Linked DNA regions of Alligator mississippiensis. The protein of the gene in region 1 interacts with the protein of each later gene in a pairwise test. Links are inferred from orthologs where the notes say so. Each region holds a gene or a part of one and is shown on either strand. Other genes may lie near its edges. The genes, in order: LSM3, CLNS1A and LSM10.

What was found.
Region 2: the proteins of LSM3 (region 1) and CLNS1A interact in binary tests that used the Homo sapiens proteins (3 or more experiments, as listed by UniProt). The link is inferred for Alligator mississippiensis from reciprocal best matches to the Homo sapiens genes LSM3 and CLNS1A.
Region 3: the proteins of LSM3 (region 1) and LSM10 interact in binary tests that used the Homo sapiens proteins (3 or more experiments, as listed by UniProt). The link is inferred for Alligator mississippiensis from reciprocal best matches to the Homo sapiens genes LSM3 and LSM10.

The regions. Positions count from the first base shown.
Region 1 is NC_081835.1:16,882,370-16,889,531, forward strand, and holds the start of LSM3 (U6 snRNA-associated Sm-like protein LSm3), read right to left. Parts: upstream 3,050-7,162; 5' UTR 2,973-3,049; coding exon 2,952-2,972; intron 2,660-2,951; coding exon 2,549-2,659; intron 1-2,548. Other genes in the region: XPC (DNA repair protein complementing XP-C cells), read left to right, coding at 3,220-3,295, 5,793-6,000, 6,581-6,708. UniProt on the Homo sapiens protein: Plays a role in pre-mRNA splicing as component of the U4/U6-U5 tri-snRNP complex that is involved in spliceosome assembly, and as component of the precatalytic spliceosome (spliceosome B complex).
Region 2 is NC_081824.1:465,355,028-465,362,645, reverse strand, and holds the start of CLNS1A (methylosome subunit pICln), read right to left. Parts: upstream 3,001-7,618; 5' UTR 2,875-3,000; coding exon 2,756-2,874; intron 1,150-2,755; coding exon 1,013-1,149; intron 1-1,012. UniProt on the Homo sapiens protein: Involved in both the assembly of spliceosomal snRNPs and the methylation of Sm proteins.
Region 3 is NC_081829.1:240,142-245,463, reverse strand, and holds LSM10 (U7 snRNA-associated Sm-like protein LSm10), read left to right. Parts: upstream 1-3,994; 5' UTR 3,995-4,222; coding exon 4,223-4,591; 3' UTR 4,592-4,777; downstream 4,778-5,322. Other genes in the region: protein OSCP1, read left to right, coding at 733-872, 1,687-1,750, 2,463-2,579. UniProt on the Homo sapiens protein: Appears to function in the U7 snRNP complex that is involved in histone 3'-end processing. Increases U7 snRNA levels but not histone 3'-end pre-mRNA processing activity, when overexpressed. Required for cell cycle progression from G1 to S phases.

The DNA.
Region 1 (7,162 bases):
GATTTGGCTACCGAATTGGGCCAAATCTCCTCTGAATCAAATCAGTACCCAAAACTTTGCGCAGCCCTATTGGATTGTGCTGCAGCCATTCTAGGTCTGCCACTGCACAATATCTCCCAGGAAGAGTCAGGTGGGACAGTGGAGCTGTCATGCATGCCTCTGATTTTTGGCATGTCAGGGGATTGAGGTTGGGGTTAACTGGGATGGGCTACAGCACAAGCTGACCCTGCTGTCTCCTTTACAGTTATTAGAGAACCCTAACGCAGGAAGGATGTGCACTACATGCAGGGCAGTTTTACTGGATCACTTGTTTACAGCACTCCCTGAAAAAAATCTCATGGCAGCCTGAGGAACTGTGCTATCCTGGTTGACAATCACTGCTCTGAATTATCACATTGTTAGAACATCTGGTATGGAAAGCAGGAGTAAGTTCTTTTGCAAAGGGGGGAAATATGCCACCTTTCAGATGTTTCTAATCACAAGATATGATTGTGCTGCGTGCCAGGTGCAAAAATTGCCATACAACTTTAAATCAGTGGGAAGCCAACTTTTTGGCTGAAGTGTCACATGGTAAGCCCACAAGGTTCCTTGGGTGAATTTGATATCTTTTATTAGACCAACCCAAATGGTAAGCCCTGCACCCTCCCAGTCCGTCACTCTAATTCCCTTCTTCTGCCTGCTCTACTTTCTGCCCTATCTGCCACCGTGTTCTCTTTTGCCTCCCTGATCTCCTGTGCCTCATAGATGCAGCGTATGCCACTTACAACATGCATGTCAAAAGACGCCGACCCCTAAATTAAGATCATAATTTAGTTTATGGTAACCTGCATGCAGCACTACAGACAAGTTCACCATTACAACAGAAATGAAGGCATCATCTGTCTCTAATACTACCTACTGAACCAGCCTTCACCAGCCTGCAGAATAGAAGACCAAGGGGAATTTGATAACAGCCTTCAAATACCCAAGTCATGACTATAGAAATGATGGAGATGGGGTTTCTCTGTAACTATAGGGGAAAGAGACTAGGTGCAATGACTTCAAACTACGGCAAGGGAAATTTAGGTTGGAGATTAGGAGGAACCTTCCGATTATGAGGGTGGTCAAGCATTGGAACAGGCTACCTAGAGAAGCTGTGGAATCTCTGTCCTTGGAAGTTTTTGAGAGAAAGTCGGAAAGGCACTTGGCTGGGATGGTTTAGTCAGGGGCAATCCTACCCTGAGCAGGGGCTGGACTAGACAACCTCAAGAGGTTCCTTGCAGCCCAACTGACCTCTGATCCCAAGTATTTCCACAGATCTGGATAATGGGATGGAGCTGGTGTCATCTGCATACTCAAGCTGCGGGGAGTAGTAGATATGCCGGAGGGTAGGGCTAGGATTCAGAGAGACCTTGACAAATTGGAGGATTGGACCAAAGTAAATCTCATGAAGTTCAATAAAGACAAGTGCAAAACCCTGCACTTAGAATGGAATAATCCTATGCACCAGGACAGGCTAGGGGCTGACTGGACAAGCAGCAGCTCTGCAAAAAAGGACCTGTGGGTTATAGCAGACAATAGGCTGAATATGAGCCAACAGCGTACCCTTGTTGAAAAGAATGCTAACATTAGTGGGAGCACTGCCAGCACATCAAGGGAAGTGATTATTCCCCTGTATTCAGCACTGGTAAGGCCACATGTGGAGTACTGTGTTCAGTTTTGGGCCCCCAATACAGAAAGGATACGGCCAAATCGGAGAGTCCAGTGGAGGGCAACAAAATGGACAGGGGGCCGGAGAGCATGATTTATAAGGAAAGGCTGAGGGAACTGGGCTTATTTAGTCTAGAGAAGAGAAGACTGAGAGGGGACTTAATAGCAGCATTCAATTCCCTGAAGGGTGGGACTGCAGAGGATGGAGCTGGACTGTTCTCAGTGGTGACACATGACAGAACAAGAAACAACGGGCATTTATACACATACTTTTTCATGCTGCCACGCACCACAGATCCAGTGCATCAGAGCAGATTAATCGACTTAATTAACTGAGTCTGCTCTGCACACGAGCTGATGCACACCGCACTGCGTCATCTGCAGTTGTATAAATGGCAAAATGCACACCAGCACGGAGGAAATGGCAGCGGCGTGCATTTGAATGAAAACACCTTTGATGTGTTTTAGTTCAAAAGTGGACCACCGCCATTTTCCACGCTCTGACGCGCACTTCACCACTTACCCAACCGCATGCATTGCAGCATCACGTGCTTTTCAAAGCGCCCGGCGCTGTGGCACATGCATGGGTAAAAATGCCCGACGGTTTCAAGTTGCAGCAAGGGAGATTTAGGTTGGATATTAGGAAAAAGTCCCTCACTAGGAGGGTAGTAAAGCACAGGAACAGATCACCAAGAGTTGTGGAAGCTCCAGCCTTGGAGGTTTTTAAGACCTGACTAGACAAAGCCTTGGCGGGGGTGATCTAGCTGAGGCTGGTCCTGCTTTGAGCAGGGGTTGGACTAGATGCGACCTCCTGAGCTCCCTTCCAACCCTTATTTACGATTCTGTGATCTTCGCTTACATGTAATCTCCCTCTGAGCTCTCGATCGTTCCTCATTTTCACGTAGATTCGCTCATCTAGACTGAGCCTGATGAGATCCAGCGGCTCCTCTACGGTATTGGTTGTCTGTTGCTGAGAAAAAAACGAGGCGGTTCCTATTACAAGCATGAAACCCCCTGGACGTTGCGTGTGCTAATCCCCGGGGCTCGCAGGCAGAGACAGGGCGAGGACACTGCTGTTGTGTCACAGACACCCCGATCAAGCCAGCGTCCACCAGAAGCGGCAACTTGAGCAAACGGGGCATAATCCCCCGAGGGCCTGGCAGCCTGCGCCCGCCCCACCAGCACTAGCGTCCCAGCGCTCAGGCCTCGCCAGCGCGGCCGAGACACGGATGACACGAGCCGGCTCGGGGAAAGCGCCTCACCTGGTCCACCTCGTCCGCCATCTTTCAAACGAACTCTCGCGAGATCCCACGAACCCGCCTTCCACATCCCGCGGGGCTGGGGGCGTGATGACGTCACGCGTCGCGCGAGGGGAGAGGGCGTGGCCTGTCTCCCCGCGAGCCCTCAGTGTTCGCAGCTGTGAAATGGGCACCGCTCACCTCAAGGGGGCGGGTGTCTCACGGGAGGGGGGCGGGGTGCTGGGGCCGGAAGGGACGTCAGGTGGGCGGGGCTGGGAGCCGGCGCTGCGGCATGGGGAGAAAGCGCCGCGGGGTCCCGGCGCGGGAGGCCGCCAGCAAGAGGCCTAAGCCCCCGCGCGGGTCGGACGGTGAGTGCGGCGGCGGCGGCCCGGCTGGAGGCCCCGGGATCGCGGACCGTGAAGCCGGGCTCGGTGCCGGGGCGGTGAGACGTTAACTCGGGTGTGGAAATGACTGACAGCAAAGCACCAGAGCCCGACACGGCTGGATCTTGTTATATAACTGAGTGACAGACATGCCTTTCACTCTTGATGACCTCAGCACTGACGATACGATACCCTTTGACTATTTTGGGTTTTTTTTTAAGTTTTATATATGCTCTAGAAAACTCACGCGCACTCCAATAGTTATAGTTGTTTTTTGCTCTAATAGTATAGTGCCCCCCCCCCCCCCTTAGCATATTAATAAAGCGTCAAGTTTCTTTTTTGACCGGAGGGGGAAAAAAAATGTGAGTTGCATTTAGGGAAGTTTAGGTAGGATATTAGGAAAAGCTTTCGCAAGGAGGGTAGAAAAGCACCGGCACAGGTTACCCGGAGCGGTCGTGAAGAGGGAGCGTGGTGCCGTAACGTTTCCACACAGACGGGTGAGGTCCTGGATCCCAGGCATCAAATATAAAGCGTTTCCTAGTTTCTAGGGTCTGAAGGGATCTGAACGGATCACGAAGTCCGACCCCCTGCCCTGGGCTCCTAGGGGCGAGCGCTGGGATCGTTGCACAACAGATTGACCCAGAAGCCGTAGTACAGCGCTTTCGTGTGGGTGGCCTTAACTTGCACATTTGGCTGTGGAAGGAGCTGGAAGAAATTGGTAAATAGAGAAAGACTGGTCTCTCCTAAAAGAAGAAGGGAAAGTTGTGGGGATGCTCATGGATCAAAAAAACAAACAGCTCCAGGAACTGAGTGCTAGCATCCAAGAAAGTACTGCAGACAACCGGTGGGATAACCTGACCCATCGGATCTTCATCCAAGGATTTACATTATTACAGCCCTTTGCTCATTGTATTATTGATTCAAATTACAGTTACTTGTATTATACTTTGGTTATATCTGTCTGTAAAACGGTGGAAGCAACAAATGAATGAACAACCTGCCTTGTTATAATGGAAGGAAAAGAAGTAGAAGGATAGTGGTGTAGTTTTAGTTTCAATTTCTATCCTTGGAGATTTTTTCATAGATTTCATGGACGTTAGGGCTGGAAGGGACCTCGGCAGATCACCTGTCTAGACAAAGCCCTGACTGGGACGATCTAGTTGGGGATGGTCCTGTTGTGAGCAGGAGGTTGGACTAGCTCAGTGTTTCTCTACCTATATGGGTTGTGACCCAAAAGTGGGTAGCAAGAATATGAGAGAGGGTCTTGAACAAACTTTAAAAATGGATCAACAAAATGGATTCTCCTTTAAAGGAATAAAATGTGGGAAACGGTGGCTTTTCTCTTGCAGGTTGTCAGAGTTCCCGCCTGCAGCGGGCTGCTTGGAGCCCCCCATGCCCCACACATATGCCCTATGCCCCATGCCCCACGCCCCACACATATGCCCCACATGTATCACTCCTGCCCCACACACTGGGGAGCTGGCGGCAGAAAGCAGTCGGTCAGGAGTGAGGGGCACTGGGTCGGGACTGGCCATCAATGTTTACAAATGGGTCTTTGTACAAAAAAAGGTTGAGAACCACTGGACTAGATAACCTCCTGAGGTCCCTTCCAACCCTAATTTTCTGTGATCCTATGATATGATGTTCTACACCATCTGCACCCTTCTTTTCAAAATCCTAGATTTGCCCGTGGATACCAGGGGGGATATTGAATGCCAGCGGGGTGTAGATTGCTCTAGAGCTATCTAAGTGAATGCTCTCTCCCTCTATGGTAGTGTAAGAGTGATGTTGTAACTATGATGATCCAGAAATAATGCAAGAGGCAAGGATTTCATAGGGTGAGATCTTTGATTGGACCAACTATGGAGTTGGGATGAAAATAAGCAAGCTTTCACATGTAAGACCTGAGAAAAATATCTTACATGTGAAAACTTGTCTAACTTTATCTCAACTACATTAGGCCATAATCTGAAAGGTAGGTAAGCCTGCTATGTTGCATGAAACCAGATCGATTTCATACGTGTAAGATCTATCCAATTCATCATAGTAGTACATAGACGCAGCAGGTTAAGAAAGCAGCTTGCTGTTGCTTCAGGAGACTCTTGAGAAAAGGGGTTATTTAAATCAAACTTGCAAAAATTCCACTTGCCTAGAGATTTTTTTTTATGCAGTAGATGCTTCAATATGCAGTACTGAAGCAAGAATATTTGCTTTTTTTTTGTCATCATTGGAAAAGACCCAGGAATAAATCTTTTGTCTTCTGAGCTGAACTTTCCTTATAATTTTATTTCACACGTGCTTTTTGATTTAATGCTACCCATTTGTTTTAAGGATATCCTTAAAGGCAGTTTGTTCGCTCTTAGCCTGCATTTTTTGCTCCATAGAAACTCGGCCCCATTGACGTCAGTAGGTGTTTTATGGTTGATTTCAAGAGAGCCAGGATTTTGCTCCATAACACTTCTTTCCCTCTGTTCCAATTTAGATGACTTTGAAGAGGAAAAGCCTATTTTGAAGAGGAGTGTCTCAAAGGCCCTCAGTGGAAAGAAGAAGAAGAAAGAAGATGGTGACACTAGAGTTTACAGTCCAGCAACTAGAGCTACAAGCCAAAAAGAATCAAAGTCAAGAGGAAAGGGGAAAAATAACAAAGCTATAAAAAATGAAGGAAATCCTAAAGAGGAGGAAATGTGCAGGTAAGTTAACTGACTGCATCAATACAACTATTACATGTCCATTGCTAAACATGTTTACTTAACACCCAGTTCAACAAACCTCATATAGGAGAAATTTACTTCTGCTGTTTGGTACCATTCTGTTCATCATAGCTTCACATATGAGCCAAATTACTTGTGTGCATGTTCATGGGATCAAGTGTATGGAACTGAATGGGGGTGGAAAGCGTTTGAGGCTTTTCCAAGCTTAATGTGTATTTTAATTTCAGAAGGAAGTTGTTAAGGACTTAAGACCCCCCAAATTATAGTTTTTTTTTTAAATTGGAGGCATTTTATAATGCAACATAAACAGACTTAAAAATGCCAGTGAAATATTTTGTGTTTATCATCCATGTATTGCTTGCAAAGATTGTGTCCATGCTGGTATTTGTGGTTTAGGTTTTAAGTATATTCTAAGCTTTTGCAGCTGTTGTTATTGATAACGTTGTCATATTACATGTGTTCCTCTAATTAGTACAGACATTGTCCTCCCTCCACATTTTAAACAAACAAGATGATATAACCCACAACTTTGAAGTTTTTTTTTGTGCAACCTTTATAGTGGTTTACCAAGCCCCTCTGGGAACGGGAAGAGTTTGAAGAGAGAATCCACTGTTAAAAAAGAGATGGATGAAAACAATGATGGCAGCAATGATGATGAAAGTGAGGATGAATGGGAGGATGTGGAAGGTACGAATCTTTCAACATGGCCTTATCAACTATCAGACATTCTTTGGGATAGTTTAACTGATTCTGGCTGCTTTCAGTGGAACCCGTCCATCTTTATGCAGGGTCCAATAAATGGTCACAGTGCATGGCATGTGTTAAAATGCTGATCCTGTAAGTTAGGAGTGTGCGAAGCAGGCTGTATTCAATTCAGGTTTAGATTCAGCCCGATTTGGGGAACAGCAATTCGATTAACTGATTTGGATTTCTGTCCTGATTCAATTATTTGGCCGAATCCAAATCTGAAGATTCGATGCTGATTCAGAGAATCAGTGATTCAGCCATAGACACAGTTTTATATGTTTTTCTACACACCCTGAGGTGTACCAGGTGTGGCTCATGAATGCTGCAATGCTGGGGCGCATGGAGCGTCCCACAGGAACGTGGGGGGACCCCGGGTGCCCCCCAGACCCAGGAG
Region 2 (7,618 bases), on another chromosome or scaffold:
CTTCCTGGAGCAAGGGGTTGGATTAGATGACCTTCTGAGGTCCTTTCCAACCCTAATTTTCTATGATTCTATTATTTTTCTATTATTATTATTATTACCAGCAAAGTTACTACATGAGAAGGTTACAGAGTCTGAAAACTGAAGCAGCTGATAGTGCTAGAGAGGTGGAAAGATTTTCAAGTCAGTCTATTTAAACCATAGCTTTTAGGTGGCTTTAACATCTGCTTAGCAGAAATGACCTATTAGAATTACAGAGAAAAGATGTCTTTAATAAAGATTTAGCACTCGTGCTCTACAGCTGAGGCGTTACATTTCACCCCACACATGCTCCCCTAAGAAGTCTTCCAAAACAGATATAGCAAACCTGATATTTGTAAAAGATTTTAAAACGTAATTTAAAAAAAAATAAGCCCTGCAAATTTCTGTCCAAACCGTGAACAATAAAGAAATGGCAAAAGCCTCTGTAAAAAAAAGTCTGTTGTAGGAAATCTTTAAAGATTCAACAAGCCTCTAAATATAAGCAACTCTTATGGAAGTTGCTCGTGTGAAATAAACATTCCATGAACATGGGATGGAGGTTTCCTGTCTGCTCTCCATTAGAAGGCATGTGAGCACCCATTCACGAGATACTAAATGAGTGGAGTAGAGGAGTGCAAAGCAATGCATGGAGCATGGGAAGGGGGCACAAGAATCTAAGGGAAACTGGCTAAGCAGAAATGTTTAAGGAGGTTCAAGAGAGCAGAGGGGTGAAAAGTGACATTTAACAGGAACATGGTCCTGTGAGACAGTTTAACTTGCCCAGAAGCAGGAGAGCAAGTGCAATGGTAGAATGGTCCTAATACAAGCACTCAGCTGAGGTCCCAAGAGAAAGAGAAGAGGCCCTAGGATATGTTGTTTGAAATGAGGAATGCTGGGCAAGGACTGGCACTTCTGAATCCCAAGCTCCCCACTGTTCATAACTGACTGTTCAAGTGACAAGTTACCAGAGGGTCACATTGCAGGCATACTATACCTTCGAACTTGGCATTCACCATGACATACAAATGCTCCCATGGATAGGCAGTGAGGTCCCTGGAGACAGCATGTAAACTTATGGTGGGGTAGTCCAAGGAGAAGCCCAGACCAGAGTTATCAAACCATGACAGGCGACTAAGGGAAAAAAATAAATAAAAGGCAAGTCAGGAACTCAGGAAAGCCGTGACATCTCGCAGACAACAGCCAAATCAGCCACACCCACACGACAGACGGTGTGAACAGCGTTCACCCAGTCACTGCTAAGCCCAGGCTCCATCTCTGTGCTAACAGGACTTTCTACCTGAAGCTAAACATGACCAAAGCTACTTTTTCCTCCAGGACAAGTTTCAGCTCAATGTGCAGGTCACTTCTTGACCTAAACACACACAACTCTTGGGTATTGTTGATAAATTCCAGGCCAGACATAGCTACAATGCTCCTGCTTCTCCAGTTCTGCAACTGCTTTCCTACTTCTGCCCAGCAAGCTCTTTTCCCCCCACTTCTCCAAGCAGGCAGCTCTGTACTTGGATTCAGCAGCACCTGGTTCTCCCACAACACAGATCGCTGATAACGCAACTGGTGCATACGCTGCCTCCTTCTATCCGTGGCCTGTAAACAGCTCTGGAAAAAGCCTTGCAGCACATTAGAACAGAGCAGGGAGGAAGAAGCAAGAACAACTTGTACGAGCTGCAGACAAAAGTCTATTGAAAAAAAAAAAACAGGCCACAACTGGGCCCTGTGTGGGTTGACAGCACTCGCTGTTTGAGCCGCAGCTCCATCCCACCAACAGAGCGGCAATCGCAACTCCAAGCGGGAACCCAGCACAAGAGGTTGCTCCACAACAAACCCCATCCCATCTCTCCTTCGCTGAGGACCCCAGGACCGTCTGGCTTCTCAGCCAGCAGCGCGTCACCAAGATTTTTCCTGCTGCCGAGCGCTCTTTGCTGGCACAGGGCTGCAAGACATACAGGAGGCCCAAACCCGAGCCTCCTGCAGCTGCCTAACAGCAGTAATGCCAACTATCACAAAACCATCCCGAGACTCAGGATTTCAAAGACAAAATAACTGACTCGCGATCTCCATATCCAACCATCACATCTCTGGATTTTCCCAGCTGGTAGGTGGAGGGAGAGGGGCAGATGGAGGCCCCCATGGTGAGGGAGTGGGGCAGGGATGAATGGGGCCCCGGGGCCAGGGCACGTTGTCCAGAGGCACGGGGGGAGGCAGAAGTGTGCTGTCCACTATGGACTGGGCTTTGCACCATGCTGCATTTGCCCCACGCCCCAGTGAGCCTCCTGCTGCCGGGCGGGCAGGGATTGTGCTGCGTGGTCAGCGCGCCCACATCCCCTGCCCGTGCAGTGGGTGGCAATGGCATCACATGGCTGACCTCCCAGAGCGAGGGAGACGGGCACAGAGCCCCCCAACACCTTCACAAAAAACCCACACACACTTCAAAAAATAGCATCTCATGATTTGGGGCAAGGCAGGGCTGGCAACACTGTAGCACCACCGACCTGGCTCATCCCAGCCGTGCACGGGGCACGTGGGACAACTCCCACGGGTCTGAGACTCTGCTCCCCTCCTTACAGACCAACTCCCCCCCTTGATTCTTGGTCCACCCGGGGCTGAGGGTCTCAACTGACTTCGGGACTCGGGATCGTCTCCCTGAGGCCTTCTCACCCCCCACCCCGGGCTGCAGCTGGGCCTGGGCAGCCCCGCGGAGCCCCCGGCCCGGCCGCACCTCTCCGCGATGTAGAGGGTGCCGGAGCCTAGGGCGCGGCCGCCCAGCACGGCCTCGGTGTGGGGCTGCTGGTGCCGGACGCCCTCGGCCGGCGGCGGGAACCGCTTCAGGAAGCTCATGGCCACCCCGTCCCGTCCCGCTTCTGCCGTCGCCGGAAGCGGAACCCGCCCGGGCCGGAGGCGGAACTACCGCTTCTCCCCCCCCGCCACCATAGAGAAAGAAGGCGGCACGCTGGCCCCCGGAGCCGCCACTCTATGGTCAAGCCGGGACGGGGGGAAGTTGAAGCCCTCGCTCCATTTGCAGGCCTGTCACGTGACGCCGTCGCGAACGCTACGTCCAAACCCCCTTCGCCGGCCAATGAAACCTGCCCCTCCCGTCACGTGACGCGCGGAGGGCTGGTGTAGGGCCCCGAGGCGGAGTCACTGTAGTGCAGGCCCCGCCCCCCCCGGCAGGGGCAGTGACCCACTCACACCCAACCTCAGTGGGTGACTGTATCCATGGCAACAGCCCCTCCACCTCCAGTGGATGACAGCCGGGAGTATCCATGGCAACAGCCCCATCAACCCCAGTGGGTGACAATTGGGAGTATCCATGGCAATAGCCCCTCCAACCCCAGTGAGTAACTGTTGGCAGTATCCACGCCAACAGCCCCTCCAGCCCCAGTAGGTGACAGCTGGGAGTATCCATGGCAACAGCCCCATCAACCCCAGTGGGTGACAGTTGGGAGTATCCATGGCAACAGCCCCATCAACCCCAGTGGGTGATAGTTGGGAGTATCCATGGCAACAGCCCCATCAACCCCAGTGGGTGATAGTTGGGAGTATCCATGGCAACAGCCCCATCAACCCCAGTGGGTGACAGTTGGCCATCCATGCCAACAGCCCCTCCAACCCCAGTGGATAACAGCTGGGAGTATCCATGGCAACAGCCCCATCAACCCCAGTGGGTGACAGCTGGGAGTATCCATGGCAACAGCTCCACCAACCCCAGTGGGTGACAGTTGGAAGTAGGCATGGCAACAGCCCCTCCAACCCGTGGGTGAAAGCTGGCCATATCCATGGCAACAGCCCCATCAGGCCCAGTAGGTGACAGTTGGCCGTATCCATGGCAACAGCCCCTCCAGTCCCAGTGGTGGTGGTATCCATGGCAACAGTCCCTGGTGCCAGGCAGGACCTGTGGGTGCCTCTCGACCCCGCTCGGCTGTGCCAACCGCCCCAACGGGCCCTTGCGCGCAGGCTCCCTGAGGGCGGCAGGGTAGAGCACGCCCAGGCTGAGCTCCCACGTCCCCAGGCAGAGCAGGCCCGCAGCGTCGCCGCGCCGGGACCACGCCGCGCTGCAGGTCAAGCCAAGGGCCGTGCAAGCCTGAGGTCCGGGATGACAGCGAAGCAGGGGCCGATGCGGCTGTACTCACCAGGCAGGAGGAAACCCAGCAGGAACCGTGCTCGGCCTCTGCCAACACAGCGTGCCCCAGCCTGTGCCCCGCGCCAGCGCTCTGCCCATCGCTACGCAGCGGCAGTGGCCAGGCCCATTTGCCACAGCCCACCTGCCTTGGCTGGCGCTGGCAGGACCGGCGTCTGCAGCTGTCTCCCCGCTCACCGGCGCCCGTCCTCTTCCTCGCATCTGTGGCTCTTCGCTCTCCACTTTCCCATCTGGGGCCTCGTTTCTTCTTCACAGGCTCCGCATCGTTCCCGACTTCTCCGGTGCGGCTGGCTGGGAGCGCTCAGCGCTCATCATGCCACCCACCAGACAGCTGACAGCCCTGCCGCAGGGAGGAGCGCCCGTCTCCCGTGTTTGGCTACGTCTCCTCTCCGAAGGAAATGATGCCGGCGGAGGTGACAGCCTTGCGGGAACAGGAGAGGGAAGGGGAGCAGGCCCCGCCACCCCCTTTCCGACGCGCCTGGATTTTGCCATGCCAGTGCCCGCTTTTCCCCTCCCAAATGTTCAGCTATATCCCAGTGAGACTAGTGACTCCCTCAAGCGGGATGGATAGCCTGACTTGGAAAACTTGCTCCTGGATCAGCACCTGGCAGCATCTGACTAGGGTCTGTTCGTAAACGTGGCAATTGGACCAGCCCTTACGTTGAGTAGCCGTGGTCCGTTTCAGGGCTGCTAACAGCTGTCTGTGGATCAGCCAGGGCTGTCTCAGATGTCACTGCCTAAAAGGTGACTGCTGTATTCCCACAGTTTGTAAGGATGAGGGATGCAGATGTGGGGAATGTAGCAACCACTACCGCTTCTGGTTCCTTTACTCTGCCCTTCCTCTCCTGGTCCCAATCAGACACAAATAGAAAATAAAGGAATTACAGTATTGTGATCCATAGCTGAAGTGCATGGGCTGGACACAAATGCATGCCTCCTTCAACCGCTACAGAGACAACTGTCCTAGGCGTTGTCACTCTTTGGCATATCTGTTCAACTCTTTAAATCATCACATTGCATCCAGAAAGAGCATGCACCAACTGCAGATGCTTCCTCAGCCTGACGAAGGGTATTTATACCTGAAAGCTTGCAAAGATGATTTTTTTCCCAACTATTTGAGTTGGTCTAATAAAAGATACCAGATTTACACAAAAAAACCTTGTCTCTCCATTAAAAGAGGAGGCATTTCACTTGAAAAAATCCATTTCCTTGTGAGCTGTGTTTGGCAGAGTCTCGTGCAAACCGCTCCAGCCTAAGGTCCCAGTACTCATCCCATTTGTGTTTCAAGAGCCTGTGTCTTCAGCAGTTTTGCTGTCTTAAAATGCTCACCATCTAGAAAACAAAAGCAAATAGAAGCATTAAGGTGATCACCAGGTTCAGATAAGAGAACTCATTAGACTCAACTCACCTTCCTGGACAGCGTTGAAAGTTTAATGGGCTGTAGCCCTCACTATGAAAGGCAGCAAAGATAAGAAAAAAAGCATGAGAGCTATTCAGTAACCATCACCCAATCCACTACACTGGATTTTGGCTGCATGCGCAGAATTCCACATTGAGCTAAAGGGAAAAAAAGCAGAGTCACAAATAACAATCGCCAATTCTCTGCTTGACTTTCTCTCTGATGAGGATGTGGTGGCCTCATGAGAAAGGGGTTCAAAGGCCTGGGACCAGATTCTACTGCAGACGTGGCTACATCGCAAGCTACTGCCAGTTAAGATCAGTCAGTTGCTGGCAGTCTCAGGACAGATATCTAACGTTGCAAAAGCGGGAACATTAGCCTACCCTCCTAGACCCTGGTTCTGTTCATATCCTTGGTCTAACTGCACTTTTTTAGCTACAAGTCTGTATTGTAGATGTGCTGCATTGGTGGAAAAGGAGGCTTTGTATTTAAGCACCAACACAACAATCCATAACATCCAGGAAGCTACATCAGTGCAGATTTCTCTTGCTGAGACAAGTTCCTCGAGGTGACCCTTTTACACTGCCCGAGAACAGGAGTAATGCAGCATGCTACTATGAGGCAGTTGTGCTAAGAGATGGGTATTTTAAAAGGGTCAAGATGGATACAATTGCACCTCTAATGTCTCCTACCTTGATATATTTGTCTTTTTTTCCTTATACTCCTGGTTAGCAATGGGTTAAGCCATTTTTCTTTGAGGAAAAGGAGCCAGTTGAGGAAATTAATTCCCCACATACAACAGGAGGGAGGGAGTTGGAACCACCAAGTCATACTTTAGACTTTTTGAAGTTAATAAAGTCAATGCTGCCTTGTTCCAATTAAAAGTCTGTCCTGCACACAAAGCAACTCCATGCTTTCAAGTTTAACTTGGAAACAAATCTTCCCGTTATAACTTGATAACTGATACGATCTTTGAACTTTTTTAGCCCTCACAAAACCCACAGAAGATTCAAGTAACCACAAAGGGGACAATAAGGATTACATTCGCTAAAAGTGCTAAAATAAAATTTGCACTGATAAACTTTTTATAATTGGGTATTTGCATTGAACCCAGCAAGGACAAGAATTGAGGCTGCTCTGGGGCCCAACTGTAGGTTTCCCCTCTGTTATAAGGCCATACAACTTTTATGGCTTCTTAGGAAGGAAAAAGGATTTATAGATCAGAGCCACAGGGTTCTTCTTCTGTTGTCCATTTCTGGCTTCAATTATTCAAATCATTGCTCAGGCAAAGAATTCCCTAGGTGGCAGGTGCTGGGACTGTCACTGGGCAGTGGTACTTCAGTATGGCTGGGCACAATTCACATGAATGAAAGTTTACAGGATTGTGCTGATACAGGACAAGAGGGAGCTGAGGACTGGCTCTATACTCAGGCTTGCTTCTCTCCAGTTGTGCCTAGCTAATGCCAAGTGTTTGCCCAACAAACTTAAACTGTGCTTTCCACTTGCTACAATGATCCACAGCAGACCGGGCAAGATCAAGCATAAGCACATTATAAATATTATCACTCACCGTGGATCACAAGCTGGAAGAAAGGACAACACTGTTTTATAGTCTGACCTGCCTCTTGTCTCAATATCCAGACAGCCCTTCCCACTGTCTCTGCAATTATTGAGGAAAACTGCAACACAGTCCATTGAACTTTTAGAAAAAGGGAATGTTTTTATTAAGGAAAAGCCCACAGTGGATTATTATGCAGAACAGCAAGTTGTATTACCTTAAAGTGCATGCTCCTTAGGGACTGAGGTATTTATTTTTGTTGTGCCATAGATTTTTGTGCAGAGCTTGCATGCGCTTTGCAAAAGGCAGCATAGTGGCAAGTTGGTTGGGGACTGAGAGGATGAGTTATGCATCTGATACGGACAGTGAAGACTTTTGCCACTAGAGAGGGGAGAAAATCCCCACCTTCTTTTTCCCTTTAAAAGCCAGATGCCCCACTCCCAAATATCAAATACTGGATTTTACAAGGCCAGGTAAGGCATTACAC
Region 3 (5,322 bases), on another chromosome or scaffold:
CATCTCTTTCAGGCTTTGCTAAGTTCTTGACCTCAGTGGAAAGGAATCCCATGCTCCATGTGTTCTATTAAAAAAAAAAAAAGTTTTGATTAGTTCTGAGTTTGCTGCTGTTTAATTGTATATGGGATCTCCTTGTTCTTGTGTGAGAGATCTCTTGATCATACATTATTTTATATGCTTCTACTCTGCCCATTTGCTTGTTCCGTTTTTCAAGCAGACCATGCCAGTATTTTCATTCTCCATCACTGGGGGTTGTTCCAGGCCTCTACCTTGTCACCCTTCTCTGAACACTATCCAATTCTGCACTGTCCATATTAACAGAGAGAGGGAACAGTAGTGCGCAATACTCTAGACCAGGCCACCTCCTTGACTTCTATAATGAAAGTCTAATTTTTCTGTATTATCTGTTGTCCTGTTCCTCATGCATCCTTAAATCTTGCTTCTCTTGAGCACTTTTCAATATTTTGAGAGGTGGAGAAGTTTAGTTTTCCAAATTTAGCAGCTATTCTAACTATCCAGGAAATTACTTTGTTCTGTATCTGTAAATTCAAACATCTAATTAATGTGTATGTATGTGCTAAACATCAGGACCTACATTTATACCACAATAACAGAAATGTGTTAATTATGTCACTCCTGAAAAATGTTTTCTTAATGAAACCAGAAACAAAAATGTATGGTCAGTCTCTGGATTGATAAACAAATAACAGCTTCATTTATTGCTTTCTGCAGGAGAACGCAGCCCCTAACCCTCTTGCTAAGGAAGAACTGAACTTTTTGGCTAGATTAATGGGCGGTCTTGAGATCAAGAAACCCAGTGGCACTGAGCCAGGATTCCGATTAAACCTGTTCACCACAGATGAGGAGGAAGAGTATGCTTAATTCAGAGCTTGTTTTGTGCATGTGATTTTGGTGCTGGGTGAAGTGCTGTGTTAAGAGTCGTGGAGACAGAAGCTGTCTCTCCACAATGTAAGTACAGTACTGGCAACCCTTCTAGTGTCTCAATTCTGACTCGATTCCCCAATGGATTCCATTGGGGAATAAGGGGTGATATTCAATCTCTCTGGCACGGCCCCACCTTGGCCTCCATTTTGAGATTACTAGCAGGGGAGCCAGTTTACATTGGGAGTGTAGAGACTGCTCCTCTGGAAGAGAACTGATGATACCTCACTGCTCAGCAGCGAATGATCTCTTATCAGTAGAAACTTGGTCTTAGATTTGAACCTGTGGCCAAAAGTGAAAGAAACTGTAGCCCATTACCAATACCCCTTTGCTCCTTTCAGACATGCATATTACGGCCTTCACAATAGCTCAGCCAGTCAGGTCTCTGCTGTGATTCTTCTAGTTCCCCTTTGGTAAAGTGAACAATTTTCTGGCTTGCAGTGATCAGGGGAAGGCTATGAACCATTCCATTCCCTGATGATGGGTGCAGAACACATTTGGTACAAATTCACCTCAATCAAAGAACCATTCCCATCACTCCAGTCAGCAGAAAACACACAAACCTGCAGAGATATACAAAGATGGTTGCCTGTTCTCTTGTCCATTGTAGTCACATAAATGGGGAAAGTTGAGTCAGGCTTCCAAGTGCTAACTTATTAAGCATCTCCAGACAAATGTTTTCTTCATTCATTCATTCACTTATCATTATGGGATTGAGTAAATGTGTTTATACTTTCTATCCAGACATGCAGCATTGACCAGGCCAGAAGAACTGTCTTATAAGGTTATCAATATACAAGCAACTCAGGTACGTGCAGTGATCTTTATTATGTGATCTTTATCATCTCCTTGCTGCCAAGGGTTGACTTGTATCTTAAAGATGCATTTGATGTTTTAAAAATATTAGCATGCTTTTGCAGAACCTGGTTAAGATCCCAAATCAATTAAGGAAATTCTACAAAGATTTGGCTATTAACACATTTGCTATTAACACATTTGTTGTACAATAAACCATTCACTGGCCAAAGCCCAACTTAAAAAAAAAAATGCCAACAAAGACTAGACTGGATTGTTCTCGTGCTCCTAGCTGCAGTCCTGCAGGAGATTAAGTTTAGCAGGTGAATGTTTGTAGCATTGGTAGGTAAATGCAATCCAAGTTCCATATTATGTTTCCAATCCTGTGGCCCTTACACAGTCAGCATCCCCACGGACTTTGCCTCGTTTGGGACCACAAATTGCATCATTAGCTGTTCTAGGGAAACAACTGTCTACATTCTTTTACTGTTGTTTATTTTCAGCAGCTATTCAACTGTTGATCCATGAGGGTTTTTAATTGTGCAGTTACTGAAATCTCTCTCTGTTGAATTTACTTTTCATATACATAATATTCAAAATAGAAAGGACTTTTCTAAGGTTAATAAAATGTTAGCCTTTACACTTGAGCCCTTTACCCAGTTACTCTGACTGAAACCATTGTGAAATGAAGGAGTTACATGGCGGGGTCCTTTCCTTCTAAACAGGATCAAGAGCGGAACAAGGAGCTGGCTCAAATCATGGGGGAATTTGAGGTGACGGATCAGCCCAGACAGAGCACCAGCAAGGGAGACGATTTGCTGGCGATGATGGACGAGCTCTGATATTCCATCTCCCAAAGGCACAGGCAGGACATGGAGCTGCCTCTAGTCACGTAGTTTGACACAGCCAAACCCTGCTGCCGTTACAGATCCCATCTGTTGGTTTTGGGACTGATGTGCCTAGGCCCGCACGTGGCACCAGAAGCAGGCTCTGGGGGCTACTGACACATGTTCTGCCATAGGCACTCTGGTTTTAAATGTGGCATTTTACATATTTGCTTCCTTCATCTTCTATCATAACTCTAGGCTATCCCATGCCAGGGATGCAGCTGCCCAGTAGCTGCAACGAAAGTGCAGTGTTCGTGTTCTGCCTGTATCCTCCTCCGCTGGATGCCGGGTTCTGTCCATGTCCTTTACTGTGAGAAGTGGAAGCTGGCACAGTGTCTACCAGCCAGTGCCTGGCTCTCATAGATGGGGGAAGGAACCACTCCTCCTTCATCCAGAATCATTGTCAGATGTGTGTATCCATGTGTCCAGCATCACACACAAGACACCCGGGCAGCGCACAGATGAAGTGAGTGACACCAAGTGTTCTGCTCCGACCTGGGCTGTGTCCGTGTGGCTGCATACATGCCAGGGCTCCCCCGGGGCCACCATGCGATATGCCACTGTCTACCTTGGTCCCTGCATGAGCAGCACCTGCAGTGGGGCTCCCTGTGGCTGCTGCATGCTTCAACCCCTGGCATCTGCACCCTCTGGCTCCCAGTGCTGTGGCTGAGGGTGACACCTGCCATGGGCTCATGGGGTTGCTCCAGCTGGTGATCTTTTGCCCTGGATTACATTTGTGTAGAGGATTTATGAATGTACTTCCTGTCCTGTGTTGGCCATGTAGTGTAGACAAGGCGGTCGTGACTGTTCTAGGTGATCTGAGCATCGCGCTGTCTGTCATCAGGCACAGAACAGCTCCCTGGTTGGTACCGACTGCACCGAGTCGTGCCTCGACTTCTCTCCACGTTTCCAGGGAAATATCGCTTCTTGCCTGTACTGGAAGTTGCTGTATGTACTGTGACCAAATGCTGGTGTTGGTGGAGGTGTCCTGTAAGGAGGAAATAAAAATGAAAGCTAGGCTTGTGTTTCAGAGTACCGCAGAAACCAGAATAAACTTCAGTGTGTCTGTGCTTGCGTCTCAGAGTTGAGTGTGTCCGGGAGCGAGGTCTGGCCGTCTCAGCAGTGTTGTCATCCACGTTCTGAAATGCCGCAGGGAGGCAAACGCGTGTTTTCTGAAGCCTGAAGTCAACCCTAAGAGCCACGAGGGGGGAGAGGGGAAGGGCGGGGGTTCAGCGTTCACACGAGCCAGACCCGATTGCTGGAGCCGGGATCCCTCCTTATTAAACCGCTTGGGGCCTTCTGTTTCCGGGACCAAATAGCTATTCCACGCTCGTGACCCGCTCCGCGCGGGTCGGGTCCGCGCAGCGCCCACGTGTCCACACAGCGCGCCCGCTCCCGCCTTGGCACCGGCCGTTCAGTGCGCAGGCGCGGCGACTAGCTAATCCCCGTGAGGCTCACTCGGCTGCTCAGTGCGCAGGCGCAGCGGCAGCCAATCCCTGCGGGCCCCGGCCACTCACTGCGCAGGCGCGGCGGGCCGGCCCACGCACCCCTTGACTCCGGCGAGGAGCGGGCCTGTCCGTGTCCGTGTCTCCGTGGCCATGTGGGCGCCGGCGTCGCCGCGGGAGCGCGCCATCTCGGAGAACAGCCTGGTGCTGCTGCTGCAGGGGCTGCGCGGGCTCGAGGCCACCGTGGACCTGCGCGACGAGAGCGCGGCCACCGGGCGCGTGGCCAACGTGGACGCGTTCATGAACATCCGCCTGGCGCCCGCCGCGCTCACGGACCGGCGCGGCCGCCGCCACTGCCTGGAGCAGCTGCTGGTGGCCGGGCGCAGCGTGCGCTATGTGCACCTGCCCGACGGCCTGGACGTGCGCGCCACGCTGCAGGCCCAGCTCCGCCTGCTGCAGCGCCTGCGCCGCCCCGCGCCCGCCGCCGCCCGCCGCGAGTTCCCAACCGCCCGCCGCAAGTGAGCGCCGCCGCCGCCTCCTGCCCCTGCGGAGCCCAGCACCGCGACGCCGCCACCGCCCCCGGGCTGACGACTCTGGGCCGGCCCCTTCCGGCCGCTACCGCCGGGCACCGGAGGACGCAGCTTGGTGTCCCGTCCGCAGGCAGCGGAGACGTTTTGCAAATAAACCCCCGTGGCGGGAGCTGCTGGACCCTGTGCTGTGCTGTGCTGTGCTGTGCTCCGCTCCTAGCGGGGCCTGTCGTTGCCGCGTGACCGCGACCTTTGCTGGCCCGCGCCCGCGCTGCCGGGGCCGGGCTGTACCCCGAGGTGCTCAGGGCCGCCGCCTCTGCAGCACTCCGGCCCTCGCAGTGGGCCCTGGCGGAGGTCTGGTGCAGGAACCCGGGTGCCGTTGTGCCGGAGGCAGCCAGGGCCGTGCAGCTCCTGGCCTGCCCGGCAGGGAGGCCTAGTCTGCAGCCCGCGTTTCCCCGGCGGGTTCTGGGCCGGGCTCCCTGTGCTGCGTGTGCCCGTCACGCTGGAGGCCTGAGGTTCGGCTGGGCCGGGCCCTGCCCCCAGCAGCTGGGGGGGGGCAGCTGGGCCGCGGCTGCAGAGTGGCAGCACACGCACGGCGCCGTCCCGGTCCCCGGTTTCTGCAGGGCGAGGCCGGGCAGGAGCTCCCGGGGCCTGGGCGTAGCGGTGGGATGGGGGCTGCCCGGGAGCACGTGGGCATGCGCGCACATGCACACGTAGGCGGGGCAG